3 linked regions of the Mus musculus genome follow. The protein of the gene in region 1 purifies or fractionates together with the protein of each later gene. This does not show direct contact. Links are inferred from orthologs where the notes say so. Each region holds a gene or a part of one and is shown in the gene's direction. Other genes may lie near its edges.

Evidence for each region.
Region 2: the proteins of Rnps1 (region 1) and Hnrnpc purify together in Homo sapiens (co-immunoprecipitation; 3 studies listed by BioGRID and IntAct, with this or other methods). This does not show direct contact. The link is inferred for Mus musculus from reciprocal best matches to the Homo sapiens genes RNPS1 and HNRNPC.
Region 3: the proteins of Rnps1 (region 1) and Srsf4 purify together in Homo sapiens (co-immunoprecipitation; 3 studies listed by BioGRID and IntAct, with this or other methods). This does not show direct contact. The link is inferred for Mus musculus from reciprocal best matches to the Homo sapiens genes RNPS1 and SRSF4.

Annotation. Positions count from the first base shown.
Region 1 is NC_000083.6:24,417,556-24,421,205, forward strand, and holds part of Rnps1 (RNA-binding protein with serine-rich domain 1), read left to right. Parts: intron 1-482; 5' UTR 483-592; coding exon 593-663; intron 664-901; coding exon 902-1,057; intron 1,058-2,650; coding exon 2,651-2,842; intron 2,843-3,650. UniProt on the Homo sapiens protein: Part of pre- and post-splicing multiprotein mRNP complexes. Auxiliary component of the splicing-dependent multiprotein exon junction complex (EJC) deposited at splice junction on mRNAs.
Region 2 is NC_000080.6:52,076,402-52,080,051, reverse strand, and holds part of Hnrnpc (heterogeneous nuclear ribonucleoproteins C1/C2), read left to right. Parts: intron 1-2,488; coding exon 2,489-2,649; intron 2,650-3,650. UniProt on the Homo sapiens protein: Binds pre-mRNA and nucleates the assembly of 40S hnRNP particles. Interacts with poly-U tracts in the 3'-UTR or 5'-UTR of mRNA and modulates the stability and the level of translation of bound mRNA molecules. Single HNRNPC tetramers bind 230-240 nucleotides.
Region 3 is NC_000070.6:131,890,563-131,894,212, forward strand, and holds part of Srsf4 (serine/arginine-rich splicing factor 4), read left to right. Parts: intron 1-644; coding exon 645-787; exon of another isoform or gene 788-847; coding exon of another isoform or gene 848-872; intron 873-1,518; coding exon 1,519-1,631; intron 1,632-3,650. UniProt on the Homo sapiens protein: Plays a role in alternative splice site selection during pre-mRNA splicing. Represses the splicing of MAPT/Tau exon 10.

The DNA of each region.
Region 1 (3,650 bases):
CTCAAAGTGCCAGCTACTCGTTACTCATTGTATCCTTAAAGAAAACAATGCCAATAAGACAAATCTGGGTTTTTCTCCTCTGAGGCCATTGTGGTGTCTAATATTTTGAAAGCCATCTACAGGTGGCTGGTTCATCATCAAACTTGGTGAACTCTAGTGTGGGACAGGCCCTAAAAAACCAAATGTAGCTACAATTACCTCTCCCACTTCATTAAGGAAAACAAAGAAGAATCTTAATATGCCTGTACCTTAGACATGTAATACATTTTGCCTTTCTTTCTCAAATAAAAAACCTAAGGTGGCCTCTAAGAGTAGGAAAGGCCTCCATGGCGCGCTAATGAGGGCCCTGGGTGTCAAGGCTGTGTGGACACTTGCTGTTTGCTGTGCTTCTGTCCTGTGTGCTCAACGGTCTTTGATGCAAAATAGAGTTGATGCTTTGTCAATTGGTTTGCTCTATTTCAATCCTTTTATCTTGTTACTAGGCTGCTCTTTGGCGTAAATTGCAATCGATTAGGGATCGTTTCTCAGACTCAAGTTAGAAGTGAGAGTTCAGATAAGTGAGGCCGACATTGCTGCCTTGAAGAAGGGGAGAATGGATTTATCAGGAGTGAAAAAGAAGAGCTTGCTAGGAGTCAAAGAGAATAATAAAAAGTCCAGCACTAGGTAATCCTCTGTAAGATTTTTTTCTAGTGCTATTTTGGGGGTGCTTGCTGTTTAAGGACCCTAGGAAAGGGGAGATTTTTGTTGTTGTTGTTCTACAGTGCGTGCCCTAATTCACAGATGATTTTGCTCTGTGATCACCTGGGATGTTAGTAATCCTTTTGGACCGCACTACTGGGTTGTGCTATCTCAGGGTTTGGTCAGAAGGGCTTGCAACCTCACATTCTATCTTATCATGCAGGGCTCCTTCTCCTACCAAACGCAAGGACCGATCTGATGAGAAGTCCAAGGATCGATCTAAAGATAAAGGGGCCACTAAAGAGTCAAGTGAGAAGGATCGTGGCAGAGATAAGACTCGGAAGAGACGCAGTGCTTCAAGCGGAAGCAGCAGTACCAGGTGGGGCAGAGGGAACCATGTCTTCCTTCACTGTGAAGCCCTCCAAGAACTTCTTTGGGGGAAAGGGGTGACACGTGTGTGTTGTGAAGGCCAAAAGTATGTTAAATTTCTTCCTTTGGGGAGGTGTGAAGGCCATCTGCTCTTCCATGTTCCCACAAACAAACAAACCTAGGTCCAGTTCAGCAAAGTTCACTCTAGGAAATCAGTGAGTTTACCAGGCTTCCAGTGCAGTGGGTGAAGGATAATTGGCAGGAATGTGGGTGGTAACTGCCCTGTGAATGTTCCCTCCCCACAGTCCCCTACTTAAAGCCTTTGCCTGAGACCTGAGGACCTGTGCAAATAGGGCAGAATTACAACTGGTTTGGAGGGGTGGCTGGATACTCCAGTGAGGGTCCCTTGACCCTGTCCCTTCCAAGAGAGACAAGCCCAGTGTGATGATCGTTAGTGAGCAAGCCCAGTTGAAGTGAGAATGACAGCAACTTTTCTGCGAGGGTAGTCCTGTATGTGTGGCTCCCTAAGAGCTGTCTGCCTAGCTTTTCCATACAGGATTTCATTGCTTCCTGCAGCTTGCCAATTGAATTGAGCTGGTTGCCCAAGGGAAGACTACGTTGTCTTAACTACATTGAAAACAGACCCTAGAGTTGTTGATAAGACCCTAATATAGCATGCAGGTTTTGTTTCATTATATATGTTATGTGGTCTTGCTGTGTAATGTGTGTTTGTGGATATAAACTCTCCTATGATACTAAAGTGTGATGTTTGGATAATGGATGAATTGTTTCTCTTGCAAGTATGTATTCATCCTGAAATGAGAATGACTGGCTTCAGGCTGGAGCCTTTTTTTTTTTTTTTAAACTGTGTTTATACATGCATACCATGTGTGTGCCTGGTTGTCACACAGGCCAGAAAGGTGCATTGGGTCCCCAGAAACTAGAGTCACAGGCAGTTGTGAGCTGCCATGTGGGTGCTAGAAACCAAACCTGGTTCCTCTTACCTGCAGAGACATTTTTCAGCTCCCAGTCTGCTCCTTTTTTTATTTAAGATGTATTTATTTTTATGTTATTTATGTATTTATTTTAATGTGCACGGTCACTGTCTTCAGACACACCAGAAGAGGTCATCAGATCCCATTGTGGATGTTTGTGGGCCACCATGTAGTTGCTGGGAATTGAACTTAGGACCTTGGAAGAACTGTTAGTGCTCTTAAACTCTGAGCCATCTCTGCAGCCCCTCTTTCTTTTTATTTTTAAGTTGAAAACCTGCCTGAATTGGTCTTCAGCCCTGTTGATCTGATTTTTGCTAGGCTGCTGCTTTTTCCTCATTGGTAAAAATAAGGATTCTGTGTAGGTAACAACAGCCCATCTCATACGGTGTTGGGACTTGTCAGATGTCATTACTGGTGAAATGGGGCTTAAGCAGGAAAGCACCGGGCAGTGGTGGCGTATGCCTTTAGTCTTAGTGCTTAGGAGGCAGAGGCGGGCAGATTTCTGAGTAAGAACCAGGAGAGCGATATCCTCTACTGAGCAGTCAGTCTTCTGTGCAGAAATAGGACTCTTGCTCATTGACTCTGTGACACCCCCACCTTGTCCTCAGGTCTAGGTCCAGCTCCACCTCCAGCTCGGGCTCCAGCACCAGCACAGGCTCAAGCAGTGGCTCCAGCTCGTCCTCTGCATCCAGCCGCTCAGGAAGCTCCAGCACGTCCCGGAGCTCCAGTTCTAGCAGCTCCTCCGGCTCCCCAAGCCCTTCTCGGCGCAGGCATGACAACAGGCGGCGCTCCCGCTCCAAGTGAGTTCAGAATGGCTAGCCTGCTCATTACAGTAGTTACTAGAAAAGTAGTTTGGGCTGACAAGATGGCTCAGCAGGTAAAGGTCTTTGCTGCCAAGCTTAACAGCCTGGGTTTAATTCCCGGGACCCACATGGTGGCATGTGATAACTCCCGTGGTTTGTCCTTTAACCTCCAATGTGCACAGTGACACACAAGTGAGGGGAAGTGCAGTGGTACATGCACATGTATTTGTACCAGGATAGTCGGAAATTTGAGGTCATGGTGGGCTGCGTGTGAGCCTGTCTCAAAAAGACACGAGAGCCAGGCGTGGTGGCGCACGCCTTTAATCCCAGCACTCGGGAGGCAGAGGCAGGCAGATTTCTGAGTTCAAGGCCAACCTGATCTACAGAGTGAGTTCCAGGACAGCCAGGGCTATACAGAGAAACCCTGTCCCGAAAAACAAAACAAACAAACAAAAAGACATGAAAGAAAGTGAATAAAAGTTAGAGGGTGGGCAGGATGTCTGAGTCAGTGAGGGTGCTCGCTGCCCAGCCCATCAACCAGACTGCCCTTCCCCGGAATACACAAGGCAGGAGCTGAGAAGGGCATCTCCCACAAGTTAGTCTCTAACTCTATGTGTGTTGCCCTGGTGCATGCCCCACAGAAGTAAAATAGACACAGATTTGAAGGGGTCTTAGTTTGGTTTCTGAATCAGGGATGATAGTCTTAGTGATCTGTTTCTGTGAAAAGACACCATGACCAAGGCAATTCTTATAAAGGATTGGGGCAGGCTTACAGTTTCAGAGGTCCATTATCCTCATGATAGAG
Region 2 (3,650 bases), on another chromosome or scaffold:
GTCCCGCTCTTTTTTTTGAAAAACAATGACAAGCTTGGAAGTCTTAGGGATTGAGATAAAAACATCCTGAATTCAGGTACTAGGAAGATTCTAACCGATACTTTGCCCCAACCCTAAATTGGACCTCTGACGAAAGAACACTAATATTGAAAAGATCTCAAAGGACAGTGAGACATGCATAATAAGCAATGCTATTTTTTTTTCTTTAGATTTATTGTGGGCTGGAGAGATGGCTCAGTGGTTAAGAGCACTGCTGCTCTTCCAGAGGCCCTGAGTTCATTTCCCAGCAAACACATGGTGGCTCACAACCATCTTTTGGTGTGTCTGAAAACAGCTACTGTGCACTCATAAATACAAGTAAATCTTTTAAAATGTATATTAGTGCTCTATCTGCATGTATGCCTGAATGCCAGAAGGGGGCATCAGGTCCCAGTACAGATGGTTGTGAACCACCACGTGGTTGCCAGGAATTGAACTCAGAACCTCTGGAAGAACATTTGGTGCTCTTAACCCCTGAGCCATCTCTCCAATAATGCTAAATTTTTTTAGTGCTTGGGCTAAGGTATAAAGCCAGGATATGATAGTGAATTTGTGGTCTACATTAGCCTACATTATTTTTGGCTTGGAAGTCTTTCAGGGAGACTAAAATTTTTTCTTCCCATTAAATATATCATTGATGTTTGTTAACATTTTCTTCCATAGCCTTTCATGTTGTTGTTGTTTTTTTTTTTTTTTTAAAGATTTATTTATTTATTTTATGTAAGTACACTGTAGCTGTCTTCAGACACCCCAGAAGAGGGCGTCAGATCTTGTTACAGATGGTTGTGAGCCACCATGTGGTTGCTGGGATTTGAACTTCAGACCTTTGGAAGAGCAGTCGGGTGCTCTTACCCACTGAGCCATCTCACCAGCCCCAGCCTTTCATGTTTAACCTGCTTAAAAAATGAGAAAAATAAATTCAGATGAAGGATTCCATAAGTCATATAATTGGCACCATTGCTCTTGCATATATTGGGAGACTTCTCTTTGTAGTATAGATGTTTTAGTCTAAACCATTGTACTTTTTGAAAGTGGTAATGACCTTGCTTTTGTTTTGTTTAGACTTGGTCTTTCTTGTGTTTTGTTGCTCCTGGCTTGGGGAGTCTCATGTAGCCCAGGTCTGCCCAAGATCCTCCTTGCCTCAGTCTCTTGAGTGTGGGGTTACATGATTTACCACTACATCTGACTTTTATAGTTTTTCAAAGACTATGTATACCATTCTTAACAGTACTTGGTGAGATGGTTAGTGTTAAGTTCCTGTGACTGCTGAAGCCACATAAATGAGAGATGGTCCCTATAAAACTGTGCATCCTTCTGTAGTACGCAGAGCTCCAGCTCCATTGAACACTGTAAACTTTTCTCTAGATTACTTCATTACCTATAACTTAGTATTGATTAAAACTATCACTTAGCAAGTAATACGCAGATACTCCTGTCCTGTAAAAACTTACTGCTAATTCGTAGTGTAATAGGACCTTTCCTAGTGTTTTCAGCTTGTAACTCAAAAGAAGTAGCTAGCAAACTCTTCCTTGAACCACAGAAATCAATGACACTGAAAGGGGAACAAATTGGTTAAATATAGTAGAGCTGGAGAAAGTAATGTGTTAACACTAAAATTTTTCAATTTTACAAAAATAAATTCAAAACAAAACTTTTTAAAATTAACTTATCTTGGTTCCTCCGAGATGGCTCAGCAGGTAAAATGTGTCTGCCACCAAGTATGATGGGTCATATTTACTTTCCAGGGTTCCATGGAGAAAAAAAATTCACATAAATTATTCTGACTGGCCTCAGAATAATATCTAGAACTTGAATAAAATCAGAACACCTTTTTGTTGTAGTTGACTTTATGTGAATTGTTTAAGTATAAGGTAAAAGCAATTCATTCTAACTTACATTCTCTTAAAATTTCCATAAACTGGAAACAGTCCATTTTTTAAGTCTAGTCAAGCCTATCATTTACTGTATGTGTGAGGGGGGGCTCTTTCCTCTTGCAGCATTTTTCATCAAATTGAGTTTTGAATAACATAAAAAGGAAAAGAGGTGACTAAAACCAGTAATCCTGTTGTTATGCTCTGGTTGTATCTTGAGTTAATCTCTTCTCCTTCCTCTCCCCTCTCCCCTTCCCTCCTCCTCTCCTCTTCTCCTCTCTCCTCTCCTCTCCCCTCCCCCCTTCCCGTCTTCTCTCCTCTCCTTCCCTCCCTTCCCCTCTTCTCTCCTCTCCTCCCCTCCCCTCTCCCCTCCTTCTCCCTCTCCTCTCTTTCGTTTTTCGAGACAGGGTTTCTCTGTATAGCCCTGGCTGTCTGGAACTCACTCTGTAGACCAGGCTGGCTTCAAATTCAGAAATCCGCCTGCCTCTGCCTCGGGAGTGCTAGGATTAAAGGTGTGGGCCACCATGCCTGGCTGGAGTTAAATATTCACTTTGAAGAATTATTTCTTTAACCCACAGGATGTACAGTTACCCAGCGCGGGTTCCTCCTCCTCCTCCTATTGCTCGAGCTGTGGTGCCTTCCAAACGTCAGCGTGTTTCAGGGAACACCTCACGAAGGGGCAAAAGTGGATTCAATTCGAAGAGTGGACAAAGGGGATCTTCTTCCAAGTCTGGAAAATGTATGTTGTTTTTGTTTGTTTGGTGTTTTTTATGCAGCACACTCCACCTCCCAGGTAGTGCTTTTTTTTCCTGGCATTTGTGTGTAAGGGGTGGGGGCCAGTGTTTATTCCTGAGTGTTGATTCTTCTGAAGATGTAGTTGTGGGTGTGAGATAATCTGATTTGGGTGTTGAGAACTGAACTTCCCTGAGAGCTTCTGCAAGTATAAACTAGCAAACTCAACCACTTAGCTACCTATTCTTCCTGTTCTTGAGAAATTGCTAGCATTGACATAACTAGAGTGTAAACTTGAGTCTGGGTGATGTCCACTTAGTAAAGCTAATGCTTCAAGGGTAAGGACCTTGGTTTGTATCCCAAGCATTCATATAGAGCAGACCATCTTAGATGTCTTTAACTTCTCTTAGGCTGACACACAGCCCTGCACCTGCCTGCCACCTAACCTTGCAAAATCAGTGAGCTCCCACCCATTTCACTGAAAGATCCTTTCTCAAAAATGTGGAGGTGGATCCAGAGTAGTAATGGCTTTCATCCCTCCATTAGGGAGGCAGGGACACATCAACACTGTTCGTTCATTTGTTTGTTTGTTTTTGGAGACAGGTTTTCTCTGTGTAGCTCTGGCTGTCCTGGAACTCACTTTGTAGACCAGGCTGGCCTGAAACTCAGAAATCTGCCTCTGCCTGGGAGTGCTGGGATTAAAGGCATGCACCACCACTCTTTTAAAGATTTTATTTATTATATGTAAGAACACTGTAGCTGTCTTCAGACACTCCAGAAGAGGGAGTCAGGTCTTGTTACAGATGGTTGTGAGCCACCATGTGGTTGCTGGGATTTGAACTCTGAACCTTTGGAAGAGCTGTCAGTGCTCTTAACCGCTGAGCCATCTCTCCAGCCCAACACTGTTCTTAATCTCTTAAAACACCTCCTATATCCTGTGATAGAGAGCAAGGTGACACCTGGCATTGGTCTCAGTTTACCCAAAAAAATACAAACCAGGGAAGAGGG
Region 3 (3,650 bases), on another chromosome or scaffold:
CCCCACATGTATTAAACCACCCTATCTCTGCTCGAAAGTACCTGGTAATATGATATAAATAAGCTGGTACAGTTGTATGTAGATCATGTCAGCCTTTCCAGACATCATGGAAACAAACTTGGAATCACACAGGGAAGTAAATAGCGAGTAATTAGAAGAGTTAGTTAGTAGAATTAGTCATTAGAAGAGTTAGTAATTAGAAGAATTAGTTCAGTTGTGACTAGTTTGTTTAGGTAGGAAACCAGGAACCTTGAAAAAACTTTTGACAAGAGAGACTTCCGACACTGACCTACCTCCTTTCCTTTGACTGTGACTCAGCAGTCAGTGCATCAGGGGCCAGCTGCACCTAGTACAGACACCACTTGTAAGAGTGCAAGCGGGTGAGTTCTTGCTGATTCCTTAAACCAAGTAGCCCTTGGAGGTATTTGCTGCTGCTGCTTCCTATAGACTTAACACAGCCTTCTGACTCCTGCAGTTAGTTGCCTGTTGGCACAAAGACAAGGTGGTTTTGGCTACAGAAAAGAGAAAGTTGGCCCTTAGTTTGCAACCCCCAGCCTGTGCTAAGCATGAACCTCGTTGATTTCTGACACGTTAGTGAAGCTGGATGCCCCGATGCCAACCAGGTTTTGTTTGCTCTCTCACAGGTATGGCTTTGTGGAGTTTGATGATCTGCGTGATGCAGACGATGCTGTTTATGAACTGAACGGCAAAGACCTGTGTGGCGAGCGAGTCATTGTTGAGCACGCTCGAGGCCCGCGGCGGGATGGCAGCTACGGCTCGGGACGCAGTAAGCATGTGAAGGATAGATGTACCAATAACATACCTCGGTTTTAAATGCTAATTTTTAATGTATTTCAGTATTTTATTTAAAGGTAGATATTTAAGCTGTTTCTATACGAATATATCTTTTAAAATACAGATTGTAAATATTTGATGTCATGAGTTTCTTTTAATACTTTAAAACATTTTCTTCTGTAATACAACTTGACATATATTTAACAAAGACCTCAATTTTAATTAAAAGAATCCTTTGAGGTTAAGATGACCACCTATTCTACTTGCTGACCTTGGTCACCTTTCCATTTGGCTGACCAAAAAATAGGAAGCCATTCAGTGACTACAATCATACCCCATAGACCTGGGTGCAAGCAAGTCTATTTATTCAGACACAGATGAGATGAACTGAAATGGGTGCCTGCATCTTTTTCTTTCCATAAAAATTATTCACAAAAACTTTAATGACTAGGGGTAATAGTAGTAACTGATTTAATAATTTGCCTTTTCTAAATTATGTTTCTTATTTTATACATGCTAATTTAAAATATAAATATTAACTAGTGAATGTGTATGCCTAAAAACTTACTGAAATTTTGTGTTTAAACTTGAATTAAAGGTGAGGCTTTAGTTAAAATACACATGCTATTGTTTAGAAAGGGGGGATTGAGTTACATAGTTTAAGAGTGTGCTGTGTCATCTCCTCTTACACTCTATGATGTTGTCTGTTTGAACCTCCTAAAGGTGGATATGGTTATCGAAGAAGTGGCCGAGATAAATACGGTCCCCCTACTCGCACAGAATACAGACTTATTGTGGAGAATTTGTCAAGTCGATGCAGCTGGCAGGACCTAAAGGTTTGGACCTAGTTAACTTTCTAAGGTTGGGCATGGGTAAGAGGAGGAAGCAAGTCTTATTTATTCAGGCCTGGGAGTGTAAAAGCCGGTACTAAAACCTCACTCATACTTTCCTTACGTGGATGCCAACTGCTCCAAGGAATCATTTGTATTCCATGGAATTTTCCCCTGCAGACAGTGTTCTAGAGAGATGGCAGGGTGGAGCTGCATAGAAGAGGCTAAAAACCTATGTTTCTGTAAACCCGAGCTGGAACCTGACTGACTTCAGCTTCCAGTGTGGGTCCACACAGTGAGACTATCCAGCATGTGGTGTCCTTAGTTATGATTGTGTGCATAGATAATTGGTTGAGATGAAAATAGACCAGCTGGAAGTGGGTGGGGGTCGACCCATCTTTTAAGAACTATTTATTATGGGCTGGCCAAGGCTGCACACACCTTAATCCCAGCACTTGGGGGTTAGAGGCAAGCAGAGCTCGGTAAAATTGGAGGCCAACCTGACCTACACAGTGAGTTCCAGGCCAGTCGGGACTACATAGTGAGACTCAGTCAAAGAAATAAAATATTTTAAAAAGGAAGAGAAAGGAAGGAAAGAAGATTTTATTCAAAAATTCCAAGATCTAGCTAGGAGTTTTGGGAGGGGGAGGGGTGGGGTTCAATTCCCAGCATCCATATGGCAGCTCACTGCTGTCTGTAACTCTAGGATCTGAATCTGACGTTTGCACACAAGCAAAACACCAATGTGCAAATAATAATAATAATAATAATAATAATAATAGACTTGAGTTGGACTGGGCTGTAACTTGGAGCTGAACACTTAAACCTGGCCAGTGCCTGACCTGAAGCTCAGCACCACAAGAATGAAAAAGTTAAGTTCTGCTGCTGCTGCTGCGGCCATCCAAGGAGCTAGAGTTCACGTCTTGAGTTTCTAATCTTGGAAGGGAAGAAAATTTGCTAAGAGTGTCTTGACTCAGTGAACTCAGAATAAATGAAAGGCAAACTGTTTGTTTTAAACCAAAATGAAGGCGTTGAGAGAAGGGTGGTCAGGCATACTTCACATTTGTGTTAGGGTTTGTTTGGGGTTTTCTTGTTTTTGTTTAGTTTTGGGGTTTTTGTTGTTGGGTGTTTTTGGGGGGCTTGGTTTTTCAGAGACAGGGTTTCTCTGTGTATCCTTGGATGTCTTGGAACTAGCTCTGTATATCAGATTGGCATCTAAATCAGAGATCTGCCTGCCTCTGCCCCTGAGTGCTGAGATTAAAGGCACCGCCTTGCCATTCATTTTATCATAAAGGATCTTTTTCAAGTTTGCTAAAGACAAACCTTTAATTTAACAAAGATGAGATGCAGAGAAGCGTAAGGAGTGATTGTGCACACCGCCTTCAATCCCAGTGCTCGGGGCAGAGGCTGAGACAGGCAGATGTCCATGAGTTGAGAATAGTCTGACATAAAAGGCTAGCCCTTGGGGGTGGAAAGATAGTTTAGCAGTTAAGGACCTATAACTGGGAGTAGTTAAAAACACTTGCAGCTCTTACAGAAATCCCAAATTCAGTTACCAGCACTCCACTGTGGAGGCTTATAGCCACCTGTAACTTCCACTCTAGGAAATGTGATGGCCTCTTCTGGCTTCCATGGGCACCTGTAACCACATGTACATTGCCACCCACAGATACACACATATGCACATAATTTAAAGATAAAACTCTAGATGGCTTGGCAGTTAACACTGGGTGCTCTGATGCTCTGAGGACAGGTACAGTTCCCAGCACGCACATGGCTGCTCACAGTCATCTATAACTACAGTGTCATGGTCCCCAGGGCCCCTTTTCTGACCTCTGCTGGCAGCACAAGCATATGGTACCCAGACACTCATACCCATAAAAGCATACAAGGTGGCTCACAGTTGTCTAACTCCAGTCCCAGGGTATCTGATGCCCTGTTCTGCCTTCCAGGGGCTCTGTGTGCATGTGGTGCACATGCATAACACTGTACATACAAAATAAGAAAACATTTATAAATAAAGCA